Linked DNA regions of Coturnix japonica. The protein of the gene in region 1 binds, or shares a complex with, the protein of each later gene. Links are inferred from orthologs where the notes say so. Each region holds a gene or a part of one and is shown in the gene's direction. Other genes may lie near its edges.

Region 1 (3,904 bases):
CTGGCTCTGATGCTGGGCATATCAGTGGCTGCTGCTCCAGATTCATATCTTACAGCATTCTCTGGTAACTGCAGCCACCTAATTGGGTGGCAGCGTAAATATATCCTTGTCTGCTGCTGAAAATAGCATGCAAGGCTTCGGCTCATAAGCACATCTCAAAATGTCTAAATGAGTTCTTCCGCTCTGTTGTCTGCACTGTTCCGCTGCACGGATGACTAATGCACTTGTGAATCACAGCAGATCACCACTGTGCGAGCAGTTTTTTGAAGCACGCTCAGGCATTGCAGTTTGCCCAGAGGTTCTAGTGGTTCAGCAGCTGCTGTGTATACGTGTTAGCTGCCCAGGGGCTGGGGTCACACCCATGACTGGTAGCCACATCAGCTGTCTGTGGAATCCTGAAGCACTCAGCTCCAACCTGAGGGTAAACACTGCCCTTACTAATGATGAATGTAGGTGTTAGCCTAGATGTTTTGGCAGGATGGGATGAAGAAATATGGACGAGTGAAATAGCTACAGTGAGTATGTGCCTTTGCATATCTTCATTAACAACAGGGTGGTGGTGAGCATTGAGCTGACATTTGCTTCTGGGGGAGTCACCATGATGGTAAGCTGTAGTGCAGCAGGCAAGAGTCTGCAAGAAACAATGCAGAGAACCCCAAATTTGTCACCAAAATGCTCCTTTTTCAGGCCACCTCTTTTCTTGTAGTTTGGGTTTCCTCTTAAGGCAGAACTCATTTTGAGGTTGTGGACCCTGCATGGAATGTCTTCAGCCATTCCTCTCATATACGTGTTTGGAGGAGATGTGTACATTGTTTCCTGATCCAGAAAATGGTGATTTCATGCTGAGCCTTTCATGTGGGACATTGAGCACCCCTGAGGAAAATACTGTGTATAAACTTCTAAATCAAGACTTAGGCTAAATAAAAGATCTGAATTGGGGCGTTCTGCTAGAAATTACTTAATTTTTGCTTATAAAACTTCTGATTTCTAAACTCTTCCCCAGACTTGTCCTTCAACAACATTGAAGTAATTGAGGGCCTGGATAACCTTGTCAAACTGCAGGACCTAAGCCTCTACAACAACAGAATATCTAAAATTGAGAACATGGACACATTGCGTGAGCTACAGGTTTTCTCCATTGGGAAGAATAACCTGACTACTCTGGAAAATGTGAGTGCTCTCTGGCTTTGGAATTGCTCCCTATCAAAGGATCAGATATTCCAGATCTGATGTTTACCACTGCTTCCCTTTGAGGAGAAAATTTTCCTTACGATTTCATTTCCTCTGAAGCCTAAATTATGGTTTAGGTAAACTATCCAGCTGTTAAGTGCTTACTTCAGCTATTTCACTTATAGGTTATTCACTCATGAGGGCTTAATTTTGTTACAGCTGTCATCTGTGGCAAAATTCCTATTGGTTCCCATGAGAGAAATAAATAGTTACATATGAGGAAAATAGAGAGTGGAGTTCAGGCTATATTTGCTGTTCTTTTTGAGGGTAGTTTAACAGCCTAATGCCCTGATTTGTCCACCACCCAACTAAAGGCTATCTCTCCATTCCCATCATTTACATAGTCATGATGTAAATTTAGGTATTTTCTTACCCCAAAGCATCAGAAACTTCTAATTTAGCTTTGCCTGTGTTTGGCAGCTAAGCACGATATGTACCGCAACATAATTGTGCAATTAATGAGCAATGAATTTCAAACCCAGCTGTTTCCACAGCACTGGTAAGCACAGCATCTCTTTCCCTTCCAAACAGGTGGTCTATCTCAGGAGGTTTAAGAACTTACACTCATTGAATCTCACTGGGAACCCTTTCTGTGATGAAGAGCAGTATATGCTGTTTGTTGTTGCTCACCTTCCAGGCTTGGTGTACTTAGACTTTAAACTCATTCCTGACACCACAGTAAGTATTTCTGCATATCCTTCTTGTGAAATCGGACATGAGTTCCTTACAGAGCACTGGATTTGTTGGTATGCTCACAATGTTCTATCATGATGGGCTGATTCCCTGGAGAAATTAGACCTATGGAAACACACACTATTTGTTCCTTCTCCACCTAACAGCTTTGAACCTGTAGGCCAAATTCTGTCAAATTTGACAGAGGTAGAGATGTCAAAGGTATTGTACCTTCACAGGTTTTGCAAAAGTCAGCAGCTGTGTGTGGGAGAGGAGCCTGCTTAATATTGCCACAGAGATGCTGCAGTGTGAGTGCAAGACTACTTAGAGATCAGAGAATCGCAGAGAGAGAATCTCAGAGGAGATCAATCTTGAGACATGAATTCAGAGGAAAGCAGGCTTGGTGGTCCTGCTGCTCACTGAGCTATTTGTTGCAGTAGTAGACTGACACGTTAATCAGGCAAGCAAGTGCCATCCAAATGCACTTTCCTTTCCTGATTTTGAAAGCAAGACTGTACATCAGCACTGGTAACCCATGGGGCTGCTTTCTGATCCCAAGGCTCATTTTTTCTTAATAATCAAAGAATATGTTTCATTTTAAGCTTGCTTGGCACAGAGCAGGAGCTGTTCTTGGAGTGTACATTACTCTTAGTATAGGACTGGAAGGGCTTTCCAGGTCATGGAGTCCAGTCCCTGACTCATACAGATAGTATGTCATTTAATTGCATGCTTAAATTTGTCAAGCTTCGATTGTGAGCTAATTAGGTTCTTGCCCCTGCTTCTATATTGCCATCCCCTCAGAAGAACCATCTTCTCCCCAGAAATTGATAAACTCAGTAACCAATTCATTCAGAGCTCAAATTCGAAGTCAAAACAGGGCCTCCTGCTAAAACAATCAGAAAAACAACACTAAAGATGAAGAAAGTGGGGGATTAAACACTGCTTGAGGCTGAATTGGATACACTGGGTGCAGAGGCAGAGTAATATGACAACAAAAATGGGGAGAGGAATAGATTAGAAACTTTAGAAGTAGTTTAATCGAAGGACCACAAAGAAATGGGGATGCAGATATCATTCAGATACACCTTCTGGAAAGATGGAATGCTTACACCTAGATTTGTTGGGCACTGTTGGGTAGTCTAATAATGTTTCTTTGCTTTCCTCAGCGAGAAGTTGCCATTTCAAATTACCAATACCTCACTGACCTGCTGGAAAATGAGGAAGCCGAGGCCCTGGCTCAGCTGGAGGAAAAGCAGGCACAGCAGAAGGAGCTGGAGTACTACAAGGTACTTGTTCTTTGGCTGGTTGTGTGCTGTCTGGGGAGGAAGAAGTGCAGCAGATATTGACTTCTCCTTCAGATGCTTGAAGCTCTAATGAGAGGTTAACACTGGCTGTGCTAACACTAAGGCTAGGATTAGTCTCTGATCTTTGAATCTCTTATTTTGAATGAAAACAGGAACTGCTGTGGAATACATATGATTTGAGGGAACATATTTCTTTTGGCTGAACAATCAGGCTGCAGATATAGACCCTTAGAAGCTAAATAGTAAATCGTGCCCAAGGATCTTATCAGCTTAATGTGAGATTAAGAAAATTACACATCTGAGGGAACTGTTAGCATTTTCATGGTGCAGTGACTTCTTTTCTCCTTCACACCAAGTTGACGCTTTTTATTAGTTTTATGGTTAAACTGTTCAGGGCTTTGAGATCACTGTAGTTCTCTGAGCAGCCTGAAAACCAGGCCAAGGAGAATGGTGATTTCAGCCACAATCTGGCTTTGTGCTCCAGCGTGCCGGAAGACCAGGCTGGCTGAAGAGCAGGAGGAGGTTAAGTGACGGGAAAGACACCTGCAGCTCTTCCTTCTGACCCTCCCCCAAGTCCACTCATTCTTTATCTGTGAGGCTGAATAGCCTTGTAACATATGGTTGTATGTGAAAATGCTTTATGTAAGATAAAACAGTGTTTTCTGTCCTTAGGCTAGAGAGTTCTAGCAGTAAATCCG
Region 2 (2,752 bases), on another chromosome or scaffold:
CTGCCTTGGAGCGTTTCCATGCCCTGTTTCCAGGATGCTATTTCTGGGCTCTGCTCTCCATGGTCCCAACGTAACTGCTCCGTGTGCTGGTGGCAGCTGCTGTGGGGCTGTTAACAAGCATCTTGTCTTTGAGCAGTGCTGCAGTGGCACATGTTGGGCTGCTGCTTGCTAACAGAGCCTAGGTTCTGTGGGAGGGTCTCATTCGGCCCCCTGTGCACTTCCCCAGAGATGGAGGCCAGGTACAACAGGAAGATGCAAGCTCTGCGGGATCAGCTTGACCTGCGCCGAAAGACTGAGATCCATGAAGTCGAGGAGAGGAAAAACAACCAGATCAGTGAGCTGATGAAGAACCATGAGAAAGCCTTCCATGACTTCAAGAACTACCATGAAGATGTCACCTTCCAAAACCTGGCGCTCGTCAGCTTGCTGAAGGTAATGCCTGCCTGCTCTCTGACCCCGCTGCTGCAGCCCTGTTGTGTAGTGTCACCAGGGAGCTGGTCCAGTAACTTGCCCCAGATCTGGCCAGTTCCCTGGTGGAAGTCCTGGCACTCCTGTTTTCCTGGGAGTTGTACGACATTACATGAGCAAAGTTCTTGTACACAGAGAGATGTGGCTTGCTGGGCCAGCACTGGGAGGGTGTTGGGACTTGGGAAGCTGTGAGGAGCTGGGCAGACCCTGCCTATAGGAACTAGCACTTGTGTTCCCAAAAACAGGAACAGGTGGAGGAGGCGAAGCAGAGAGAAACTCAACTGGAGAAGGAGAAGGCAGATGCCTTGCTTCAGAACAAGCAACTGAAGGAGACCCTGCAGCAGGCCCAGGAGCTGGTGTTTGAGCTGCAGAAGAAGTTGGCCCACTACGATAAGGACAAGGAGGCTCTGATGGTGAGCTGCCAGCCCTGCTGAGCCCTTTTCTATTCTTTCCTGGGTCACTTTGGCTGTTTCCTGGCATTGCTCAGCAGTGACCTCTGCCGCTCGGCTGAGAGCTCTTCGGCCAGACTGCTGGGCAAATGCACTGGGGTCCCTTTCAGCTTATTTGGATGCGTGTAAGAACTCAGACAGGACTCCAGAACTCTGGCAGCAAGAAAGAAGAGCAGACCCTGCTGCAGAGAGGGAAGGGTGTTGGTGTGGCTGTAGCTTGTGTTCTCTCAACCCCATTTCTTCTGCTGGTTGCTCTCCCCCTTGCCAGAACACAGAACACCCATCTCCCAGAGAAGTCTTGTAATTGTTGCCTCCTACTTGCAGAACACAAAAGCCCATCTGAAAATCAACCAGAAGGAACTGAAAGACCTTCAATGGGAACATGAAGTGCTGGAGCAGCGGTTCTCTAAGGTGAGATCTGCAGGTGGGTCTGGCCATCCTGTTTCTCTCTCCAAACCCTGTCCCCATATAGAGGTTTAGGCACTAGGACTTTGCAGAGGCTGTTTTGTGCTGTACTGAGCTGGAAGCTTTCCAAATCTCTAATCCAGAGCGGCGCATTAGCTGCTACTTCCAACAAGGCTTATCACAGTTTTGGCGTCTCCTGTGCTCAGCAGACAGGCTCAGCCTTGTACTTCACTGAGCAATCATGCGTGTGCTGATGGTCCCCTCCTGGCCTGCTGGTGGGAGGCTGTGGCACTGGGTCAGGAGTGGAGCTGCATAGAGAGGCTTCTGCTACAGCAGAGAGAGATATGGGGACAGTATTTCCCTCATTCTGCTAGCATGTGGATGTCACTTCCTTGCTTGTCGTGCAGCCTCTTCAAGGAATATTCTGTTGACTGAGTTCTCCCAGACTGAGCCTCTCCCTTGCAGCTAACCCAGATAAATGCATTGAGGCAGAACAGAGCTCATTTGCAATTCGTAGAAATCCCCAGGAATATGAACACTGATCTGAGGCCTCGTTAACAATCCATCATTAAGGCAGGAACATATTCAGTGCAGTCAGAAATAGGCTTTGGAGGAGAGATTCTAATTAGGACACTTATTAACTAGCTGTAAGCCAGGAACTCCTGCCAGCTGCAAGGATGGGAGGAGAGACCCCTGCATGCTGGGGCCCCTCTGTGGTCCAAAATAGTGCCTTGGGACAGAGCATAGAGGAGGATGGAGTCAAGGCCAGGCTGAGCAGAGCGTGGTCTCTGCTTCTGTGGGAGGACAGCGAAGGCCAATTTACTCCCTTCTGGAGCTCAGGAAGTGCTGGGGTGGGGGGGGCTGCAGCAAGCCAAGATATCCCAAAGGGTCCTGAGGATGGTGTAAAGCTGTGCCATGTTTTGGAGCAGGTGCAGGCAGAGCGAGATGAGCTCTACCAGAAGTTCACCAAAGCCATTCATGAAGTACAGCAGAAGACTGGGTTCAAGAACCTGCTCCTGGAACGCAAGCTGAAAGGACTCCTCGATGTCCTGGAGAAAAAGGAAGTGGAGCTCAGCGAGGTCTTTGCAGCCTCCAAACTCGATCCAGGAGCCCTTTCCTTGGTCTCACAGAAGCTGGAGGTACTGTGCACTGGTGCAGGGCCCTCTCCTTTCCCCCTCTTGAAGGGCAGAGGCTGCTCTGGGGAAAATGCAAACCTTGGAGATGTGAGCGTCGTCAAATTCTGAGGTCTATGGGCAGCGTAAGGGCAGAGCCTGGTTGTGTGGCAGGAGACAGTCCCTGTCCTCTCTCTGCACTGTTACATACCTGGCTGTGTGGCCAGTCCCCAGCATCAGCACACTGCAAAAGCACCTCAGTCTGCTCTGCTGTTGGCTGCGCCATGTGGAGAGCCGGGCTGTGACTGTTGTGTCAGC
Region 3 (4,418 bases), on another chromosome or scaffold:
CATGGTGGGTTGGCATTGGACTTGGTGATCTTGGAGGTCGTTTTCGACCATAATCACCCTATGATTCTATGGTTTCAGTGTTTGGCTGAGTGATACTTACAGATTTTGAAGCTTCTTTGCTTTGAGGTTGCCTTCATGGCAGGGAGGGACCTGGCAGGGCGCCTTCTTTCACAGAGACAAGCATCACTTCAGAGATCTTTATCTTGAAGTTAGGATAGCAGGTATAAGGTCTTACATTTGCTTTCTTAAAGATAAAGCACATGGAAGAGGACAAGAAGAAGATTGAACGTCACCACCAAAAGCTGATGCAGCAATTTGTGCAAGAACAAGAGATAAAAATAGAACGGTTTAAGAAAGCAGCCGAAAGGTTTGAGAAATCCCTGGAGGTGATCAGCCGCAGAGGTGGAAAGTCGTCTGCCCCTGCTGCTGCCGGCCAGGCTGCGAGCACAGGGACTCAGCACAACGCTGCTGAGTGAGAAGGGATTGGGAAGAACATCTAGAGAGCTCCTCCTGCAGGCTGTGCTGCACTGAAAGCTGCGTTTTCCATCTACGTGCTTGGATTTTCAGCTCATCCTTCCTGAAAGCCAGCCTGCTATAACAATAAACAACACCGTCCCTTGCTGTCGGGTGTTCCTCCTTTTATATACATGAAGCTGATGTGGTGTGGGGGCACTGTCTGGGTAGCAGCGCAGGTGTAAAGGGGAAAAAAACCCTTCCAAAGGATTGCTTTCCTCTGAGGCAATAGAAAAGTAATGTAAAGCCAATAGAAGATATTTTGGGGCTTGTGTCTTTCCTTTTTGGAAAGGATGCAAAACGTGTGTCATGGCTGCTTGGATCAGAGAGTCCGAGGGTGTAAATGGATCCTTCACTGGGAAAAGGATTGGTAACTTAAGGCACACACAGGACAGACAGTAAATTGCTTCTTTCATGCTGGCATTGGAGATGGGCTGGTGTTTGCCTACATCAACTGGATGGAGTGGATCTAAGAAGTGTGCTGAAAAACAAGGAAGTGGCAACAAGCAAGTAATGCAGCACAGCTTTGGAGGAGCCTGGAGGTTGTTAGACTGGGGTGGCTTGCACTGGGTCTTCCTTGTTGGAAAACACTGGGAGAAATTGTCATTTTGTGAGCTTCTGAGTTTGATCTAGACACATGTGTGATCAAATAGTGCTTGTGTTGCATCCTTTGGCACGCTGGGTCTGGCTGATTCCCAGACCTGGTTGTGCAGAGTTTGCTGCAAGGGTTTCTGCTCATCAGAGCCTGGGAGACGCTGATCAAAATCACATGCTCTGATCTCAATGCCCTGACACCTCCATGCAGTTCTGCTGCCTGCATCCAACAGCAGAGGGTGCTGGTGGCTGAGGCTGGAGCCAAGGGCAGGATACATTCCAACATCAGCCAGCATTGACACCCAGCCCAGGACCCAGCTCCCACCTGTAACAGCGAGCAGACAGCATCTGGCCGGAGCTGTGTGTACAATTAATCCCTTCCTTCACCAAACAGGCTGCAGGGACACAAGGACCCGGGGCACCCTTTGCTTTCTATGGCACTCCGAGTGCCACCGCCCCTAAGATGGCCACACAGCTACGTCAAGGCCTCTCCTCGTTTTCTATTGAGTAATAGCGCTGCCCGTCAAGACAGCGAAGGCGCTGAGTGGTTCGAGTCGTGATGTGTGTCGGGAAAGAGCCCGCAACAAGCGGAATCCTAGCAACAGGGGGACTCCGGTGGCAGCACGGTCCGGCTCCATAGCGGCCTTCCTTCGGCTGGAGGCCGCACGGCGCTGCGAGCCCCCAACCACAGCCTTGGAGCACTGCAGAGATACAGCCTGATCTGCCACAGCTGCTGCTTAGGAGCTGGGAGCTCTCACCGCACCGGCTTCAAGGCCAGGAGCCCCTCATGTCCCCCCTCCCCACAGGGGTGCTCATGGCCCTGGGTGCTTGACAGCATGTGATATGACACCCCCCCCAGCACCCTAAGGACGCTGTTTCTCTCATATTCTCCTCACATTTTCCTTTTAGAGATCAAAACTAAAGAGGATTTTGCAGCAGAAGCAACAGTGGTCTCTCACTGTGGGCCTTGCCCCGTGTAGGAGATGCTGTGTCCCTTCTAGACGTGAAAACAATTCACTCCTAAGTGTTTAAGTGTGGCAGCAGGGAGCCCAGCTGTGCTCTGAGTATCAGTGCAGGACACGAAGGAAAGAAACAAGATCCTGATAATGGGAACAGAGGCTGCAGAGAAGGCGATGACCACAGTGGACTCCATGAAGGGCTTAGATCCACGCCGGTTGAAACCTAATTGCTTTGAGACAGAGAGAATCCTATCTGTCTTGGATGAGACCATCGCCAAGTTGGAGCTGAGCTCCTTGATCCCACTTATTATCGGCTCTCTGGACAGGTTTGCTGACCTGCTGGGACCTGAGATCACAACCAGCCTGATGGAGTACAAGAAGCTTTCAGACCAAATGGAGCTGCTGCTTGTTGCTGCTGAAGAAGGGGACATCTCAAAACAGGAGGAGCAAAGGGTTGCTCTCCATTTGCTGGAACAACAACTGAAATGTTCTGTTAGGAATATCCTCAGGCTCTTCTTGGCCGTCCCTTCACTTTGTAAGGCTCTGAAATATGAAGTCTGGGCAAGAGAGCCAGCAACTGAAGCATTTATCAAAGCCTTCAGGGAGTTCAGGAATTTTATGCTTGAGCGACTCCTGATTAGTCCCAAGGAAGAGGAAGAAACAGTTCAGCTGGTGGAAGACGTCTCCCTCCGGATCAACAAGAACACTGAAACCATCACAGCTTTGCAGGCAGAACTGGCAGCAGCAATCAGGACCCGAGATGAGGAGGTATATGAGAATGCTTGGTGACAAAGGGTCGCTGAAGCAAAAGCTGAAAAACAAGCCCTTTCTGACAGGTCCTAAAGGGGAGATTCCAGAAATGATTTCAAAATCGGATTCTAAATAGAATTTGGAAATGTTTCTTGAATGCTTCGTGTTGAAACTTGGCATGTTTTGAACCTGTTCTCACCAGCCAACTTCAATGGAGCAAGTTATTGAGCTTAAAAAGGAGCTGCAGGACAGGCACAAATGACTGCAGTAGTATTTTAGCAGGGCTGCCGTGCCAGCTGCCAGGGAGAGGCTCCATTCACTGCTGCTGACATGATGAACAGTCATTCCAGGGAGAGATTGTTCTGATTAAAATCAGTTTTTCATGCCAGCTCTACCTTCGCTCTTAAAACTAACATTTGTGAGACTTCCAACTCCAATACTGGCTACCTTGGAGATCTATAATGAATGTGTGATGACACCATTTCTTTTCCAGTGAAGGCAGCTGGATGGATTAGCTAATGGGCATTTCCCAGGTTCTTTTTGTGAGTCCATGAGCTGAGCCAGAATTCAAGTCCTGGATTCCTGACAAGCCATCCCTTGTTTTATGTGTGTGCTTGTCTTCTTTCTGCAGGAGGGCTCAGAGGGGAAGGTTTTGTCTCGTGCTCATTGCACCGAATGGTTCTGATGGAGATGAGGTCTGTGAATTGAGACACATGAGATTTTTACGTTCACTTTCTTACCAGTGCATAACAAGTGTGTTTCACTGCCCCCAGCTGAGGATCTCTCTTGCTGGCAGCCCCTCTGAGCTGTGTCCTCCAGGCAGTCAATCCAAGCCTCACCTGAAGCCAAAGGGATGATCTTGGCTCCTCTTGAGACAAGGCCGGCTTCTTTACCCTGCAGTGTCAGTGAGTCTCAGTACAGCCTGGTCATTCTATGGCTTTATTCTCAGGTTCAAGCACCTTGCATAAATCTGACTCTGTTCCCTCATCTGGTCGTGCCAGGTCCCTGTTCTTAGATCACCTCCACCTTTGCGACTGTGTCTTTTTCCTCCTGACCACTTTATGCTTCACCTGCACACCCTATTGACATTTCCTTCTGGTTTTCTGTGTCTAGATCCAGAACAAGGACAATATGATCAAAGATCTCAAGAACAGCATGGAAACTGTAGATGAATGCAGCAAGGACAACCTCCTGCAGATCAAGTTGGAAGGTGAAAAACAGCAGAAAGAGGAGCTGCGAGCTTCCCAGGCTAAGTGTGCCAGGCTACAGCAGGACATTCAGCAGCTGGAGGAACAGCTCAATAAGCTGATCCTGGAGCATCGAGTATCAGAGCTGGCTCTCAGGAAGGTAAATGGTCAGAACTGTTGTAGAGCTGCTTGGTGTGGCTGCAAGTGTCTATTTTGTTCCTACCATTTCCTGGCAGGATGCACACGCTGTTTGTCAGAATATACCTGTGCTGTCCTCGTGCTCTGCTGATTTCAGCAGAAAGGAAGCCTGCAGTGCTGCTGGGGAAGTCGCCTGCTCACAGTTCCTCCTCTTGTTCCCTGACCTAGCTCTGGAAGTTCCTCAAACAGTGCTGTGATGCTGCACGACAGGGAGGTT
Region 4 (4,610 bases), on another chromosome or scaffold:
CCTGTGCCACCTGTAGCCCTTCAAGTGCTGTGTGTTTCTTCCTCCAGGCTGAAGAGAAGGCACAAAGCCTGCTAGCAAAACACTGCAACCAACCTGTCATTATTGATACTGTCCCAGCAGACTCCCTGTCTGTAAGTAAAGCACATTATTTGTTGGCCCAGCAATACTTAAGATGCTGGATGCAGCCAATGGTAGCTACGCAGCAGTCTCCTGACTCTGCCTTTTCCTTCCTCTCTTAGATCCTAATGAAGGTAGTGAACCAGCTTTGTGACAAGTCACCTGGCACATCAGTCCTGCTGCTCAGCCCTCAGGATTCTGGGGAGGTGCTCTGTGCCTGTCAGGTGTCCAAGGTAAGCAGAACCCTGGCAGAATCCCAGGGAAGCCTTCCTGCAGAGGAGGACTGGGTACACTACTCACTAGGTCCCAGCTGAATTTTTTCTTGGGTTTCTACCCAGTGTCACTGATGAGTTATGTTGAGGAATGACCCAAGATGACTGTACTGGGGCCAGATAATCTTTCAGTTTTTGCTGGGCACCAATATCCCTGGGTCATCCAAGACATGTTTGCCCAGTGGTAGGATGTAGAGCTAACACGTAAGCTCAGTCTCCTCTCAGTCATGTCTTCCCCAGGTAGCGAGGGTCCAGGCTGGGTGAGGGGAGAAAGATGTTCCTTCTTCCATGCTGCAGAGTGCTCCACAGACCAAAGTGTGTGTCTCTTCCCCAGAATTGCCTCCCCATGTTCTCCGCTGCTGACTGGGCCGTGGCTGTCTGTACACAGATGGAAGGCAAGGCAGGAGGTTCTCCTGTTGTCGCTAAGGGCAGTGGAAATGCCAAGGGCATGCAGGGAGCCCTGACTACTGCACTGGAATTTGCTCAGAGTAAACTCTGAAATGTGTGTGATGCTTTGGTGGCAGGACAGCTGTAAGCTGTGTGGATACTTGATGCAGAGTGCACGTTATACTGTGCAGAAGGTTTGACAATTCTCACAGTGAGCCCTGCTGCAACCACTGCATTGGAGCACTTGGTGTCTGGCCATCAGGGCTGAGCAGTGTCTGTTCCTGAAAGCACTGACAGAGCAACGCTGTATGTTCTCATCATGGGTATATGGTGATTGAGCCTCAGAAGGCACCAGCTTCTGGAACAGTGCAGTTCTTGCCACAAGACCAGCACTGGGAGGTTCTGAGAACATGACTGTCGTATCCCAAAGTTATTAAAGGATGGAGAGTGTTTGATCCCTCTAATGTTATGTTGGTGTTTTGTTTTTCTTCATATCCGCACCTTTTTCCCTGTAAGCCCAGAAAGCTTATATATGCTGTAAAAATAAATATATGCTGTAGTCTAAGCAGTCCCATCTTGCTAAAGGATACACCAGTCCCTGATAAAAATGCTACAGTAACTTAGAAATGGGAAGAGAAGTTCTTGCCTGTGTGCACAACCTTTTGCCTAGCCTATGCAATGGTTAGTATTGTAGTCAGGCCTTTTTGTTAAAGCACAAAGGGAACAGAATCATCCTGACCTCCACCTCTTTGCTCTGAGTGCACATTCTTACACATTTCTTACTTCTGCTCCTTTTTAAATCCTTTCCTCTCAGGTTGCTTCCTCAGACTTCCATTGTTAGAATGACGCCTGGAGTTCTTGGCCAGAAAACCTTTGTGTTACAAACTGGCCTAAATAGAGAGGTCATGGGTGGTAGCTGATAGGGAGGTGCAACTGGGTAGTGATACAGAAAGGCTTCACCCTGTGAGCAAGAACAGCAACCTGGCACAGATGAATTTCAGCAGCAGATAGGGCTGCCTGGTGTGGTGGAATTAGGAGGCAATAGCTACATGCTTTAGGGGGTGGGAAGAACAGTGATGTTAGTGGGTGAGGAGCAGAAAGAGGGTAGTTATGTTAGGATGTTTGATGCTATGGAGGAAGGGTACCCCCACAGTGGTGAGGCTGATGAGCTAGGAAGTGAATTTTTAGCAGATTTGGTAGACTGATACAATAAGCTTCTGGTAGCTGAGAGCAGACTGTTAGGTGGCCGAGGTAGGCAGGGTTCTAACAGTGCTGCATGGCTGGAACAGAACTGAGCTTCACGTGCATGACCCAGCAATAACCCTTTGGTCAGAGGGATACAGCAGTGCACTTGCACACAGCTGCTACTCTCAGCTTAGGTTTGTAGGGCAAGCTCAGCAGGCTGATATATTTGCCTGTTGCTCAGTTGTCACATAAATAAGGCAAAGTAAAGAAGATATAGTGGGAAATGACTGCTGTGAGCACGGCCTCCTCTCCTCAATGAACAACAGTTGACCCAGGGGAGAAAGGTGGTGGATTTAATTGTGTTTAGAGGATGAGGGATTTCCTTCCTCATCTCAGCAGCTGTCCAGTCCCAATTCTAAGACTTAGTGTCACTCCTACACGTCTTTTCTTAGTACCTGTGGCTGTGTAAAGAGCAGGAGCTCGCACTTGGTTAAGTGCCTGATATTGATATGAGGTTGGTGGTGCTCCATACTATCTTGCGTTTCACCATAGTGCTGACAGCCCCTACATCTGCAGCAAGAGGATAGACCTTCTCCTCCATTAATCATTACTTCCATCCAGGGAGTTTAAGGTAGAGCTTTTAGTAAAGGAGACAGCGAGCCGAGGTTCCTGGACATCAGGATGACTGGGACAGTTCACGCCATCGGTTAAAAATACTGTTAATGCCTGTTGTGGAACAGCTGCTGTGTTTCATCCCAGCCACAGCAGTACCAGGTATGGGGAAGGGAAAGGATGCTCTGTGTTACTGGGAAAATGCTTTTCTTGATTGCTTCCTCATTCATAAAAGCTGCTGCTAGAGATGATGCCTCCTCTTGGTACTGGAGAGTAGGTGTGTGAGGAGGAGGAGAGGCTGAGCTGCTTCTGCATCATGCTCCAAAAGCAGAGCCTGAGCTTGCCAATAGCAACCTTATGGATTTAACCTCCCTTTGTGCTTTTTTTGTTGTTTAATTTCAACTTTAAAACTACTGGCACCTTGTAAATTGTTGCCTCACCCCTTGATGTGCAGGGATCCGTGTGCTGACCTTCAAGGTAATGTCTCTGCAGGCAGAGAAAGTGCAAGTCAAGCCCCCACCAGTGTTCACCTGGCCAGCCAATGGCTGCTGCAGCAGTGACTTCCAGAGCAGTGGTGGTGTCCTCAGGGGCTTTTTGAAGGACTCCTCTCCACTGCAGGATCTGATGGGCTCTCAGCACTGGGGAAGGAGCCTGCTGAGATGAGTGGGCAGCAGTGACACAGCTTCATGGCTTCCTAGCTCTGCTATCCCCCTCCTGTATTCTATGGGAAGAGTGGCTCCCCAGATACAAGGTGGCAGAGCCAATCCCACCATGAGAAATAAACCCTGGGTGTCCTGAGCAGAGGCACTAAGGAAAAGTTTCCTCTTTCTGAGCCTGCAGGGATTTAGATGGGTCATCAACAAGGTTGCAGCACAACCAAGTTGTGATCTTGCTGTAACTCTGTAGCACAAAACCTGCTATGTAACCGAAAGAGAGAAAGCATCTCATCCTACCAAAGAGCAGCTGTGTGGAGGCACCGGTTTGGTAGCATGGGCTGCTGCAGTAGAAATGCTGGTTTCTGAGATGTGGCTGTGCTGGACCATCACTGATCCTAAAAGAATAAATTCCATGCTATTCTCCTAAATCCCAGTGTACAGGACTACATCCTCTTCCTGCCATTTTTATTCCACAAGACAACACGCATCCAATGCTACGGACATAGCCACCATCTTTCTGTATTTTAGCAGTAGGTAGAGCAGTGCTCAGCTAGGAGAGCTGGAGGGGATGAAACATGAGTTTTAAATATAGATCTCTCGCCAAAATAGCAGCTTGCATTCCCTTACTAGAGATCTAAGGTGCAAGCAGTTCTCTGTGCACGCGTTGCAACTCCAAACAGCACGGGCTGCATGCACACACACACACACAGGACAGTGAAAAGCAGGAACTAGTTAATAAGTGATGAGTTTTTTTTTGCTGTGAACAGGTGCTGTCAAGTAGGCAACTGCTCTGTAAGTCCAGATGGACCCCCAAGGTCCTTGAAGGGCGCATGTGAGTGCCGGCCCGAATTCCAGGCAGCTACCTGACTTTGTGTGAAGGACCAACCACACACATTAGGCCTTGCCTAGCTGGAAGAGCTGCACAGATGGGATGAGAGCTGGGGCTCTGCAGGCTACATAACCCTCTAGCCTAGCAGCCATGGGTCCCTGTCCTGCTCTCTGATAGAGCAGCAGACCCAGCACAGGGCTGGGGTTGCAGGGTAGGGAGCCCTAGATGGATTGGGAGTATCTCCAAAGAGAGCCTGCTAGGGAGGGCATCAGGAGTACCTGAAAGGCAGCCTGCAGGGAGAGATAGGACAAGTCACTCAGGGTTTGCTGAGGAGAGGAGCTGGCAGCAGAACAGTGAGCACAGGCTGGGTTTCTCCAGCTGCATGTGTAATCCCACGAGGGCCATCCCCAGCATGTGTCAGGGACATCCCCAGGACTCCTGGCATTGCTGCAGGCCTGTGTTTTGAACAGTTCATCGAGCCAACAGGAAGAGCCAAGTTGGATGTGACCCACGACTGTCCAGCTACCTCGGGGCCAGCAGAAGCTGAGGACC
Region 5 (4,677 bases), on another chromosome or scaffold:
CTCTGTAAACATAAAAGCTACTTTAAAATATTTCAGTAGATTTCAGATTGGATCCTGAGATTATTTAACTTGTATCAAATTCAACCCTTTAATTAACATCATAAAACCAAAGGCAAGAAAAGATACATATTTAGAGCACTTTGAAAATACAGGACACTGTACAGTGTTTAAGTACATTTAATGTATACAAACATGAAGCACAGATAAATCTTGTGAGGGTGGTTAATTGCGTTCCTTGGACTAGCAGGAAATTAAAGCATAAACATAAAACACAAGATTTAGAACACGGGTTAACCCAGCTCTCAATCTTGTGACACTCTTAAGCAAAACAGCACCCTTCATTTTCCATACTGACTGGTAGCGAAATGCTGTTGTTTTCTACAGAACAACACTTACTTGATTTACAGAGAAGGCAGCACTGTTACTGAGAGTGATTAAAGCTTGCTCCTGAATTAATGGATCATCTGTGGCCTTGAGCAAATGAATAAGCTTCTGTAAAGTATCTGCATCCATGCTGTGGGGTGATGGAGGAATTTCTTCCCTCACTGTTAAAAAAATTAAATAACACCAAGTTTGAGATATTTCACTTAGTTACCAGTGAATGCTTTTTTAGCAAGTTGAGTTTAGCAATTCTGCTGGTTTCTCCCCATTGCCCTCGTTCTATTGCTGCATGCCACTGAAAAGACTTTACCCCCAGTGACTCGACTCCTGTACTTCAGACATTTATACACAGCGCTGAGATCCCCCTCCAGCCTTCTCTTCCCCAGCTCTCAGCCTTTCCTCCTACAGGAGGTGCTCCAGGCCCCCACTTCATGACCTTCCACTGGACTCTCTCCACTAGTTCCATGTTTTTTGTGAACCACATAGCCCAGAACTGGACACAACACTGCAGATGGGACCTCACCGGGGCAGAGCAGAGGGGGAGGATCACCTCCCTCGACTTGCTGGCCACAAACATGAACGTGTTCTATGTTTCACAGGATCACAGAATTAAAGGGGTTGGAAGGGACCTCTAGGGATCATCGAGTCCAGCCCCCCTGCCAAAGCAGGTTCCCTACACCATGTCACACAGGTAGGCGGCCAGCCGGGTATTGAATATCTCCATAGAAGGACACTCCACATCCTCACCGGCCCCTCCTCACCTGAGGGCGGCACACGAGTCTCTCCCCGCCGCCCCGCTCGTCCCTTCGCCCTGTGCCACCGGCAGTAGCAGTAATAGGCGCCGGCTCCGAGCACGACCCCCAGCACGGCCGCTCTCAGGCCGGGCCGCTCGTCCATCTTTACCGCCCGCGGAAGCCGATGCAGCATCCGGCGCCGCCCCGCCGTGCTGAGGGCTGCGGCTCCGGCCCGGCCTGTGAGCCCGTGCAGGGCGGCAGCGGCTCGGCTCTTCCTTCGGCTTATTTTTACAACAACAAAGTGAAAGTACCGACATCTTAACAAAGCACAGTGCTGGATATACACCACACTCCCTCCCCAGTCCCTCTCCGAGCACAAACAACCCCCAAGGGCTACTCGCTGCCTTCACTTTTTCACGGTGAACCAACGCGTTTGGAAGGGGCGGGGCGGGGCGGGCAGGTCCGGGGCAGCACCTCCGTCTCAGCCTGTTGCTACGAGACCGCGACGCCTTGCGGCCATGGCGGCCCCACGCGGCGGCGGCCCCGAGCTCCGCGACTACCTCAGGCGGCACGGCCTGATCCGGGTGTACGAGGTAAAGGCCGCCGAGCAGCCGGACTCAGGTGGAGTGATGGGACAGGAGTAAAGGAGCTTCTGTGCAGCGCTGAGTGGGGCTGTGCCACAGCATGACGGGCTGGGGGCTTCAGGATACTTCCCCAGTCTGTTTCTTAAGGGAAAGAACCAGTTATAAAATCACTCTATAAGATCCTTTCATCCTTTTCTTTTCACGTTTCTTAGGTGTTGGTGCTCAATGATGCCTACATTGTTATTTCTTTGAGAGGTTTGTATGGAGATAAATGATACTGGCCTCAGTATTAAGGCACACCGAAGCGAAGCTGAGTTCTATTAACATCTATGTCAATGTTCGCAAAATTAAGAAGGATATGAAGTTCTACAGTGGACATTTGCTGAAGTCATTTATGGTTATGTTGTGGTTTGGACATGATCCACACACAGTTGGTGCCCAAATAGTCATGTCCAAATAACTCAGGATTCCCGGCTGCGTAGGATTCTTTCATTCCTGTGTGATTTCTCTCTTTCAGATCTCATCCAGATTTACTTTAATCGGTAACCATAAAACATCAGGCAAAATGAAATAAATGGCCCAGATTGGAAGGGACTCAAGGATCATGAAACTCCAACAGTCCCAACCCCAGGCAGGGAGACCAACCTCCAATTTAATACTAGACCAGGCTGCCCAAGGCCCCATCCAACCTGGCCTTGAACACCTCCAGGGATGGGGCATCCACAGCCTCTCAGGGCAGCCTGTGCCAGCACCTCACCACTCTCATTGTAAAGAACTTCTCCCTGACATCCAACCTAAATCTTCCTAATTCAGCTTAAAACCATTTCCCCTTGTCCTGCTGTTAGCCACCCTTTCAAAGAGTTGGCTCCCCTCCTGTTTATAGGCTCCCTCAAAGGCTGTGTTTAGGTCACCCTGCTGGCTGTTGTGTATATTCTGTGTTTTAGACCTTTCAGGATATGAAAGGGAAAGAAAGCTGTTGTGTTCACATCCAAGGGAAAAAGAAAAGAGCGTAAACGAAGCCTTATACAGTAACTGGAATTCATATGGCAGACAGATACTGGATTGATCCAGGAGGGGGAGTAGCTGAGCAGCGTTAGGCTTGGCTTTGGGAAACCTGTCTTTAGGAGAGCTTCTGAGGAAAGTTATTTAAAAGCTTAGGTATTAATTAAAATGGTGTTTTTGTCATGAATGACAACATTACTGTTAGATTCATAACATTTTCTTAATATAATCCCCTATCAAGGTATACATAGAAACTTGTGTTTGTATTAAGAACGTTATGTTAAAGTTGTAAGTAGTGGGTTGAGAAGTATTACCAAATATTCAGTGTGTGTAAACTGAAGACAGTTGTCCTTCATTGTCTGTGCATTAAAAAACTGTTTTACATTGCTTTATTGTAGTGGTCTTGTAGGTACGTAAAGAAACAGCACATCCTCATGGCCAAAAATCTCCATTACTGTGCTTCTATGTTATAACTGTTAGTGATCTCTCTCCTGACGCTGCTCTGCAGTTACAAATCATTTGAGTCAGCACAGTGAGAAAGCCATTACATTAAGATATTGAGTTGATCCAGCACATATGAAGAAGTTGCTTCAGATAATTCTTTCTTTTATATTTATTTAAAAAAAAATTTTGTTATTTATACAGGTCCATTGTTTCATAGTAATAACATGAGGAAATCGACATGGATGTTGGAAAATGAAGTATTTTTACCCATAGGATGCATATGTATAAATAAATGGTTTGGAAAAAATAAAGATAAGTGGCAGGGATTTGGAACCTGATGATCCTTGGGGTCTCTTCCAACTCAAGTCAGTCTATAATTCTATGATAGTGAGTTGCAGTCAGAATCTGAGCGATGAACTCCCAGAGGTCAGCCCAGACTCTGAATGGCAGAAATTAGACATAGGGAGTTAGCACCATCCAGCTGCACCATGGAGAACAGCTGTAGGGGGAAGTGGGTTGAGACAAAGAAAAGCAGGTTTTTAAAGGTCAGGGCTGGAAGAAAATCTAAAAGTTCAGATGCTGCTTTTGTGCTGTTAAGAGCTACTTTATTGGTAACCAGCAGAGGGAACTATAAACAAGAGAGTAAGTCCCAGGATAACATCTTTTGCTTCAATGTGAATTAGTATCTCATTAAAGATGCATAGTCATGTTCTGAAATCTTTACCTGGAAATAGAAGCTTTCTAGTTTATAATATTAATTTAAATAACCAGAGTTTACCCGTATGCTTTTAAATATCAATATAATTTAGAAGTTCTGTAGGTGAACTCACAATCCAAAAGTAAATGAGCTATAGATTTTAGATGAAGACATCTGAACACAAGTGAGAAAAACTGCTCATCAGTTATTCTGCAGCACTGCTAAAATGTAATGCAAATTCGTAAATCTTATCATCAGTATCTTGTATTGGTTACAGGATTGGTATCTGGTCATGCTTCCTAATTCAACATACTCTATGCAGCACAGAATTAATCTTGCTTTAAATTGTGTTTTTCATTAGATTAATAAAATTATCTTGTCTTATGGATGCTCTTTCTTGGATGCATATTAAAAATGGAATTCCTAGTAGGAATATTTGTGGAGATACCATGTATTTAATTACTGTCCTAAACCTGATTCTTTGAAGACTGGCAACTGAAAATTCTAATGTATGCAACATTCTATTAAAGATATAAATGAAATTAAATATAAGTGATAAAAAAATTGCTCTTATTTTACAATATTTTTAAAGTAACTTGTAATCTTGAGTTTATTTTAATGGTTTCACATTTAGATGATCCTTTACTGTTACCACAAAGGCATTAATTTGAAGTGTCTTTTTCAGGCTCTACTTTGTGGTGTAATTGTTATGCGTCCAGAAGACCCACTTCTATTTTTACAGGAAAAGCTCAGAGAAATAATGGAAAAGGGAACAGATGCTGTTTTATGGTATGTATTAAATGTGTGTGTGATGGTGGTTTATAATGTTGAACCT
Region 6 (4,476 bases), on another chromosome or scaffold:
TTTGACCAGTACTATTATATACTTGGAATAATGCTCTCCCAAAGGAGCGATTGTGGCAGCTAATGAGGGTCTGAGTCAGCTGCTACAGTAGGTCTAAGTGTGGCAAACACAACATGTAGTATCTGTTGCAGACTTCAGTATTTCCCCTTTCTTTCTGGATTTTACACGTTATTGTTTAACTACCATAACTCTTGGAGGAAACTGGGATAAGTGTGTGTCAGATATAGTGTGTGAGGAAAGCCAAGCCCAAATACTGCTGAGATTGATGGGAAGATGATAAAATAAAGTGGCCTGAGTGAAATGACTCTTACTATTTCATGTTCACAATGGCTCAGATCTACACAAAAACTGCTGTAGAAATACAAGAGTCTCAAATTTCCACAGCAAGCAAAATGTATTTCAAAGATGAATGTTGTCCATATTTTGGGCATGGGCTGGGCATGAAAATCTGAATGAGTGGAAAATCAGTTTTTAAAGCATTCATTAGGGGAATCTTGTGAAGACTTTGAACTAACATTCATTTTTTATAAATACATCAGCATTTGTAGAATTGCTCTGCATGTCCTGTGATGAATCAGGTGATCTGGAAAATGACACAGGGAATCTAATCCTTGGGCACAACACTGAAGAACATAAAATTTCACGCTGAGACGATGAGAGAAGTAATAAGCAAGCTCTGTGTTTGTCAAACAATGTATTTTGTTCTTCAGTTTCAAATACATCTACCACAACAGATCAACAACCAGCAAAGACGAAGGTTTTGTGTTTGGAGACATTGAAGGAACAAGAAAGGGGATTGCATCACAGTGAAAGATAATGGCCTTTCCTTCTGTTACTGTTACATTCTCTAGATTAGGCTTTTGCACTGTTATCACTCAAACTTCAGTTATCTGCTTGAGAGGAAACAAATCCACATTACCCATGTAGTCAAAACACATACTTGGAAGTACTCAGTTACTTTAATAAACTGTTCAAGTCTATAGGTAACCATTTGGAGGGATCAACTTTGTTAGAGAGCATAATCAGCTGTTTTCCCAAGAGACTAACACTGTACGCTCTGTTGGGTATATATTATACCCTATATTATACCCTCTTTACTCTGAGCTACGCACAATATAAACAGTATAAACAAATAGCGCCTACTGCGGGGAAGACAGTGCTTTGGTTCTAGGAATTTCCTTAAAACATTAGTTCCTATGAGTATATGGTTGCATCTTGTTGGTATGCTCATATTTGCATTTTCTCCACTTCCACAATCATTTGTTCAGAAGAACTGCGCATTGCAAGTACATCTGCTAAAATACACGGCTATATTTAAACTGCGTTTTATTTAATATCGCTGAGAATATTTTAGCTGTTTCAAGAGTGACGATATTTAGAATAAAATGTTCTTTCACTTTCTGAAGCTCAGATGCAGAAATCTCTGCAATTGCTGGGAAGACTTTTTTTTTTTCTGTGAACCAGCAGATTGCTGGGGCTCGTCCAAGTCTCCCTGCCAGGACAGTGGTGCTTGTGCCTGCCGATGCCACCCGTGCCAGGTGTGTCTTCAGCGGTGGGTTCTGTCACTTTGCCATGACAGGGAGTGACACCCCAAGCATTACTGGTCCCAGCTGGGAGGGAGGGTGGTGGGTTACAGCTGCAGCCTCCATGCCTGGGATCCGTGTTTGGGTGCGATGGATGTTTTGGAGCATTAGCACCCAGGACTATGGCTGTCACTCACTGCTCTTGAAACCACGCAGTGCAGTAGTTAGTGCACTCAAAAAATCACTGCACTGCTTCACTCAGCTTTTATATGCTTTTTATTTCAGCGGGCCCGGTGACTGCTTCCCAGGGCGGAGGGCTGCCAGCTCAGGCCTGGCGCTGGGGGCCAGGGGAGGCCGCGGTGGAAGGAGGGGAGCGCCCGCCGGGCCGCTGCGCCCCGCGTCGCCACGGCGACGGCTCGGGGCTCGGCCATGGCGCAGGCGGTGAGCAGTGACGGTAAGGCCGGGCACGGGGCCTGCACAGCGGCCTGCGGGACGGAGCGCGCCTGGGAGTGGGAAGCGAGGGGCCCAGCCTTGGGTGACGGCGTGGGGCGGGGCCAGCCCTCCGCCAAGGAAAAGCGATCCCGGCTGACTCTCGGGGCTCCGGGGCTTATTTTTAGAGGGAGGCGTGTTCTGCTTCAGGAAGCGCTGCCAGAAAGTGTGATTGAAAGGCGAGAGGTAACTCCTCCCGCAAGGGTGTCCCAGCGTCGTTTCCAGAAGGTTGTGCACTCTGAGCAGCTCGTAACAGTGTCGCTTCTGAGTGCCGTCCTTTGTGTAAATAAACACGAGAACGTGGTAATAAGTCACAGATTGAGAACACTGTAACTAATAAGTTATTTCGTATTAATGAGTAAAAGCACAATTTTCTGTGAAAAACCCACAACAAAAAGTTGTGGGTAATGCTGAATGAGGAGTTTTTCTGATTGCTTGATCAATAGCTTCTAATGCATTTTTTTAGTTCGAATGTAATTTTAAAGAAGTTGAAGCGCCGTCTTGCTGAAGACACACCCTTTTGTTGATTGTTTTTTAATTACTAGAGGTAGTTTATCATCCTGTAAAGAGCTGTTCCCAGGAGACCACCACAAGTTATCTGCTAGAGGGAAACTGTGCTGTCAAGAATTCCATTCCTGGCCCTTCCTGACAGATCACAGGAAGGTGGCAAGCTGGGCTTTGATTTCCTGCCTGTAGGGAGAAGACAATGACTTGTATCTCATGGATAGTGTGAAGACAAGGCATCTAGCTTCCCTTTGGACACTCATGAGAATCCTACACTTTTATTGAGCAGATGATTTCCTTAATGCCTCATAGAGGTGTCTCATCACCAAGGCAAACTAATATTCAGTGTCTCACCGAAGTGCAGAAGCATCCCATAAGAGGAGATGGCTTATCTCCATGTCAGTTGCTCTTAGACCTCCTGCAGGTAGCAGTTAGGGGGCTGATTAGAATCCTCAAATCCTGGATTCATGCAGCAATTGTGCTTCTGACAAGCATTTTACATAAACACAAACTGCAGCTTTTACTTTGTTGTGTCTCAAAGAGAAGAACAGCATTAGTTTTATTGTCGAATAATTAGTCTTTAGGGTATTCCCCTTGGTTCTTGGTAGAACTGTAGTTCCACCTGCTTTTGTGGTAAACGTTTCCCTTAGGTCCTATTATTTTCAAGTTTGTCTTCATCAAAGTTAAAATGCTTACCTTAATGTTTAACAGATATACTGGATGTACACAAGAAAAAACAGTGTAAGGCCAAGTCTTGCAGCCTCTTTTGCATGACATTGATAATGTGTTACCCTCTAGCTTACATAATTGCGAATAAAATCTTGCATGTGTGTGAGTGCTAATATCATGCCCATGATATATGGAGCTGTATGTTTTATGCATGAATTTGTATTCCTGCATTTGTGCTTTCAACGTTATTTAATTATTTTTTTTTCTTTATTCCCATCTGATTACATTACACTGCTTCATCTTTCTCTTTTGTGTATTTGTCTGTATCTTTCTTCCCATCGTTCTGTTTCTTTCCCCTTTTTTGCTACTTAATTCCATCTGTCTGTTCTTCCATTTGTTCTCAGGTACTTTCTTTATAATTTCACAGAACGTGTCAGATTTTCTAAGTTTCCATCTCTCTGATCTCAGTGCCGATGTTACTAGAACCTGAAAGTAAAATGTCAGACCAGTAGTGCCTGAAGTAAAACTAGATGGAAGACAAGACGTATTTTTCTCCAGCTGGGATTTAAGAAATTACATGGAAGTACATAAAAGAGAATGTTCAGTGTGGCTTTATCATTATGGTAATACTGTGTATGTGATCAGTATGAGAGTTTTATACACACTGTATTCTTTGTGCTAGTTAGCACATACTTAAAATACAATTAATAAGTCATGAATTTGAATCCAAAAGGAAGTAGATGAAATATTCTGAGCTCCTGTTGCACACCTTTATACCCATACAGAACTGGACGACTGATTCTGGGTAACAAAGGTCTTCCAGAAACATAACTGATTGTGATGTGAAGACTTAAGGAGATGGTTTATAGCCATTCTCTGATGAGGATTTTCTCTGGTAAATAGTAGTGATTCTGGGGAATTTAACTTACTGCTGCAGTATGTCATTAGTCCTCACAGATCCTTTTCCCAACTTGTGAAAAACTCACAATAAGGTTGTTAGTGGAGATGGGAAAGAGTTTTTACCTCTGCTCTAGAGCCTTATGAACTCTGCTGAACTCTTTCCAAGAGATCCCCGTCTTTTTTGTACTGGGGAGCCCAATACAGACACAGTACTTCAGATGTGGCCTCACCAGGGCAGAGGGGGAGGATCACCTCCCTTGACCTGTTGGCCATGCTCTTTTTAATGTACCTTTTTGGCCACTGTCGTCTACCAGGACACCCAGGTCCCTCTCAGCAGAGCTCCTCTCCAGCAGGTCATCCCCCAACCTGTTCTGGTGAATGCAATTATTTC
Region 7 (3,904 bases), on another chromosome or scaffold:
GTATCAAGAGCTTCCCCCTGCAAAGCAAGGGAGTGGGGAAACTGTTACCTCGAAGTCTCTGAAAAGCACTGAACAGAAGCAGCAGCTGGGGAACTCTGCGGATCCAAAACGAGCCCAACATCCTTCCAAAAGGGCCACGAAACCCAATGCTCCATCTGCAGAATATCTCAGAAAAATTCAGGCTGACAGGTAAGTGAAGCACAAGTGTGATGCCTGTGCAGGATGCTCAGAGCTGTAAAGTTCTCACTTTACCTCTGCAAAGCAAAATACAGGCTTCTCATCCTCCCACTGCTAGTGTTCCCCAGTTGTGGCTATATCTAAGAATGGCTATATCTAAGGGGAGCACCATGGCCTTGCCATGAGATCTCATGATCTCAGTTATTCTGTAGGGTACACAGAAGCCCTATGGCAGTAGGGCAATAATTGATAAAGGTGCCAGACTCCGTGTTATCAGTGTACACCTATACATTACTGTTGTGTTCCTTTTCTCCCTGGTAGGCAGTATGTGAGTGATGTAATTACAGCCACTATGAAGAAGATGGAGGAATCGGGAACATTTGATAGCCTAATAGAAGCTAATGGGAGAGAGAAAGCAAAGAAAAGCAACTTGAATGACATCCTCATCAGGTCAGAGTTGTGCTTTGTACTTTTCTGATTAGTGACCTAGAGCCAAAGCTCATTTTCCCTCATTATACAATGTAAAAGGAAAACAAAAACAAACTCTACATCAAGATATGGAAGGGATCCCTTTTCAGCTTGAATTATCCTGACTACTTCACAAATTGCATTTGCCCTTGGAGAGGAAAATAACTGACTGTAATAATACTAATCTGACTTGGGAATTGCCTGAGCTTGGACCACAGCGGACACCAGTGTCTGCATTGATGCAAACTCTGCTCCATATCAATTAAAACATAATGTGATGGAGGAGTTTTCTGACCTTCAACTCCTTGTCCCCAGAGGAAGCCAGAGTAGCAAATAATCTGCTCAAACCAAGGTCAGCAACATACGGACTTGAGGTTATACGATGCCCAGGAGAATCTGCTTTGACCCAAATGCTAATGTGCTCCCTTTTTCCAATGCAGGGTTAGCACAGATGGTGGCAGAGGCAATTGTCTTTTGAACGTGAAGCCCACCACTTCCAGCATCTAAAACCAAGGGATTTATTGTTTCTCCAAGGAAGGGTCAGAAAGCAAAAAATGAAAGCAGCTGTTGCTTGTGGAATCCCTGTTCAACACTGGAGTTAGAAAGGGGGCATACAAATTTTAATCATTTTTTTATTCCATTATATCAACCATATCTAAGCACTGTGCTATCTGTTCTACTGCACATTCTTTTCATTGAATGAACTTGATCTGTATTTAAATATACCATATACTTGTCTGGTTTTGTGTCAATATACCAGTCTGAGAGCAGTCTGCAGTAAGGCTGAGACTCCTTATCAGGAGCTCCTGTAGCAGAGTTGCCCAGCTAAGTACCTAAAAAATGAAATGCATGTTTGCCTGTAAAGTGGGGGTAGGGTACAAAGCCTCAGGCAGCAACTCTTCTTACTGGCTTTAGATCAAACAATAAGCATAAAAGCTTGGAAAAGCCCTCAAAGTGAAGTAAAATAATGAGACCTACAACATTATCTCATCCTTTTTGCTTTAAACTGTCAAACTCCCCTGTAGGTTTTGGCCTGGCTCTCCCTGTTTTTGGTTCACTTTCCCTTTCATTCCCATCCTCCCTATTCAATCCATACATCTCTTCCTTCAGGATTTACTTACCAAGTCACTAACTTTGTTGAGAGATCCCTCTGATCTGGAGACGTGCTGCCTTCAACACTGAACTTCAGAGTGAAGACACAAATACCTTTTCTGCTCCTCAGACACTGGGAGCAGCTGCAAGCTTTTACGCTGCACTGAAGCAGGGCAAACTTCTCACTTCTTTTAGTTCAGCTGTAACAAAGGTGCTGGATGAGCAGGTTAATTGGGGCAGCGTTCACTAGGTGCAGCAGTGTATAAAGAATCTGAAAACTCCCTATCTACGTACACAGCTCATGGGGTGTTTTTTTAGATGCATTCAAGTGACTGTATTCTCCCATTTTCCTTCAGGGAAGAGGAAGGAAAGAAGGAGATAAAGTCACTCCAGAAACAGCTGCAAGATGTCAAGAAAGAAACTGAAATAGAACTTCAGGTGAGATTACTTAACACCAGGCATCATGCCAGGGGGAAGTGTGTTAGCAAGCTTGCTCCTGCTGCCCAGGAACTAGTGCTCAGATGAGAGGACACAGCATATGTAGCAATCCATCATTTAAGAACATAGTATAACTGCAGCACAGACTTACATTCTGAATGTAGTTATTGATGAATTTAAGAATGCTGTTCAGTGCTATTCAAGCAGAAACTCAAAGTGCTTATAATTGTGAAAGGCTGTGAGGAAGTCAGAACACCTCAGAAACACTGCAAAGCAAGGACATGAGTGAGTGCTGCTACATCTGCAGCCAGGAAGGAAGAGATGAGCTGCAGACAGCAGGATCTGAGGTTCGGTCATACTTAATGATGCAGACATGACACCTAGCACAGAAGAAAGACTGACAGTGAGGGATTAAGAAATAAAGTGTCAGAATTGGCACAAGGACACGCTATTTTTCTACCTGCAGTTTTGTCAGGGGAAAATATTGTAATTTGCATCTATTTCCTAGGCTTCCACATACAACAAAATCCCAAATACACGAGCCCTGTGCAAGGGCAGATCAATGTTACTACACACACCCCATTGACTTTATCTGTGTGGAAAGCTTCAGCCTTTCTGTCTGCAGCGTGTGAATTGTCTGTGCACACACAGTAAATCTGGGGCATTCTGGACACATCAGACTTGCTGCACAAGTGCAGATCAATTAAATGGCATATCCCTGGTCACCGTGATGCTCACCAGACAGCTCAGACTCAATGGTCATGCATGCTTAAAAAAAGCACACAGCTCGGTGCAGAAACATGCAAGCTTAACCTGTTTCTGCTGAGGTGAGGAAGAAGAGTGTGTGATGAGATACAAGCAGAAGAAAGGCCAGGTCAGAGCTATATAAGGCTTGAAAGAAAAGAATCTGGCACTTTGTCCTGCCTTGCAGCTCTCCTAGCTCTAAGTCATACAAACATGTAGCTCCCACGCTGAAGACATGCTCCTCTCTGTGTGTTTTAGTACCTTCTGCTAATGTGATTCTTGCTTTCTGCCTCATCAAGTGGGATCTGCGCTCATCTGGGATTCTGGTTTTATGTTTCCAGCTTAAAAGTCATTTTCTGGGCTTCCTTATAGCTTCAGCTTTGATAACAAATCAAAGACGAGACGACTTTCAAGTACTGCTTTCCTCCTGTGCCAAAAATATCGGTGTCTCACTCAGTCTCCCAAGGGAGAATAATTTCTATTTGCTTCATATGGGATTTCCCCATAGGCAATTTTACAGACACACAATTATTTGTCACCTCGCCAACTAATTAGGAGCAGAAATACAGCTTGCTGATTTTGGACTATTCTGAACAGGAATAATACACAGACCTGTAGACAAAAGCCTACATGGTTGTCTCCAGTCCAGTGGCTGGGAACACAAAACCAAGCAAATCTCATCATGGAACCAGAAAAACATGGTTTTTGCTTCACGCATGTTGCTTGTGTGTATTTTCAGCCTTAATGAGATGCTAATTAAGGCTGTATTAGCTGGCTCAGCTCATTTTTTTCTTCCTAATAGAACACAAATGAACTGCTAAACGTTTCCACTTCTTTTGTTTCCTTTTGGAAAACACGGATGTCTCAAAAGCTGCTGAGATGAACAGTCTGGTTATATACTTACCCTCCATACAAGAGGGTCTGTGATGGTCCTGGGGCCACGTCAGCCCCCAGAGCAGCTCAGCAGGACACAGAGCTGCTGCAG

The links.
Region 2: DRC3 (region 1) and GAS8 share a complex: the UniProt entries of both Homo sapiens proteins name them as parts of the nexin-dynein regulatory complex. The link is inferred for Coturnix japonica from reciprocal best matches to the Homo sapiens genes DRC3 and DRC4.
Region 3: DRC3 (region 1) and IQCD share a complex: the UniProt entries of both Homo sapiens proteins name them as parts of the nexin-dynein regulatory complex. The link is inferred for Coturnix japonica from reciprocal best matches to the Homo sapiens genes DRC3 and DRC10.
Region 4: DRC3 (region 1) and TCTE1 share a complex: the UniProt entries of both Homo sapiens proteins name them as parts of the nexin-dynein regulatory complex. The link is inferred for Coturnix japonica from reciprocal best matches to the Homo sapiens genes DRC3 and DRC5.
Region 5: DRC3 (region 1) and FBXL13 share a complex: the UniProt entries of both Homo sapiens proteins name them as parts of the nexin-dynein regulatory complex. The link is inferred for Coturnix japonica from reciprocal best matches to the Homo sapiens genes DRC3 and FBXL13.
Region 6: DRC3 (region 1) and EFCAB2 share a complex: the UniProt entries of both Homo sapiens proteins name them as parts of the nexin-dynein regulatory complex. The link is inferred for Coturnix japonica from reciprocal best matches to the Homo sapiens genes DRC3 and DRC8.
Region 7: DRC3 (region 1) and IQCG share a complex: the UniProt entries of both Homo sapiens proteins name them as parts of the nexin-dynein regulatory complex. The link is inferred for Coturnix japonica from reciprocal best matches to the Homo sapiens genes DRC3 and DRC9.

The regions. Positions count from the first base shown.
Region 1 is NC_029529.1:4,996,525-5,000,428, forward strand, and holds part of DRC3 (dynein regulatory complex subunit 3), read left to right. Parts: exon of another isoform or gene 1-440; coding exon of another isoform or gene 441-519; intron 520-1,003; coding exon 1,004-1,170; intron 1,171-1,761; coding exon 1,762-1,908; intron 1,909-3,068; coding exon 3,069-3,188; intron 3,189-3,904. UniProt on the Homo sapiens protein: Component of the nexin-dynein regulatory complex (N-DRC) a key regulator of ciliary/flagellar motility which maintains the alignment and integrity of the distal axoneme and regulates microtubule sliding in motile axonemes.
Region 2 is NC_029526.1:16,811,171-16,813,922, forward strand, and holds part of GAS8 (dynein regulatory complex subunit 4), read left to right. Parts: intron 1-226; coding exon 227-432; intron 433-713; coding exon 714-881; intron 882-1,241; coding exon 1,242-1,328; intron 1,329-2,251; coding exon 2,252-2,461; intron 2,462-2,752. UniProt on the Homo sapiens protein: Component of the nexin-dynein regulatory complex (N-DRC), a key regulator of ciliary/flagellar motility which maintains the alignment and integrity of the distal axoneme and regulates microtubule sliding in motile axonemes.
Region 3 is NC_029530.1:9,594,543-9,598,960, reverse strand, and holds the start of IQCD (dynein regulatory complex protein 10), read left to right. Parts: upstream 1-1,561; 5' UTR 1,562-2,213; coding exon 2,214-2,834; intron 2,835-3,929; coding exon 3,930-4,163; intron 4,164-4,418. UniProt on the Homo sapiens protein: Component of the nexin-dynein regulatory complex (N-DRC), a key regulator of ciliary/flagellar motility which maintains the alignment and integrity of the distal axoneme and regulates microtubule sliding in motile axonemes.
Region 4 is NC_029518.1:27,141,630-27,146,239, forward strand, and holds the start of TCTE1 (dynein regulatory complex subunit 5), read left to right. Parts: upstream 1-1,468; 5' UTR 1,469-4,610. Other genes in the region: AARS2 (alanine--tRNA ligase, mitochondrial), read left to right, coding at 48-131, 240-350, 724-888. UniProt on the Homo sapiens protein: Component of the nexin-dynein regulatory complex (N-DRC) a key regulator of ciliary/flagellar motility which maintains the alignment and integrity of the distal axoneme and regulates microtubule sliding in motile axonemes.
Region 5 is NC_029516.1:11,600,169-11,604,845, reverse strand, and holds the start of FBXL13 (dynein regulatory complex subunit 6), read left to right. Parts: upstream 1-1,600; 5' UTR 1,601-1,633; coding exon 1,634-1,708; coding exon of another isoform or gene 1,709-1,736; intron 1,737-4,527; coding exon 4,528-4,631; intron 4,632-4,677. Other genes in the region: ARMC10 (armadillo repeat-containing protein 10), read right to left, coding at 397-545, 1,143-1,308. UniProt on the Homo sapiens protein: Substrate-recognition component of the SCF (SKP1-CUL1-F-box protein)-type E3 ubiquitin ligase complex.
Region 6 is NC_029518.1:31,176,484-31,180,959, reverse strand, and holds the start of EFCAB2 (dynein regulatory complex protein 8), read left to right. Parts: upstream 1-1,625; 5' UTR 1,626-1,952; coding exon 1,953-1,977; intron 1,978-2,176; exon of another isoform or gene 2,177-2,198; intron 2,199-4,476. UniProt on the Homo sapiens protein: Component of the nexin-dynein regulatory complex (N-DRC), a key regulator of ciliary/flagellar motility which maintains the alignment and integrity of the distal axoneme and regulates microtubule sliding in motile axonemes.
Region 7 is NC_029524.1:13,171,098-13,175,001, reverse strand, and holds part of IQCG (dynein regulatory complex protein 9), read left to right. Parts: coding exon 1-189; intron 190-498; coding exon 499-627; intron 628-2,093; coding exon 2,094-2,175; intron 2,176-3,904. UniProt on the Homo sapiens protein: Component of the nexin-dynein regulatory complex (N-DRC), a key regulator of ciliary/flagellar motility which maintains the alignment and integrity of the distal axoneme and regulates microtubule sliding in motile axonemes.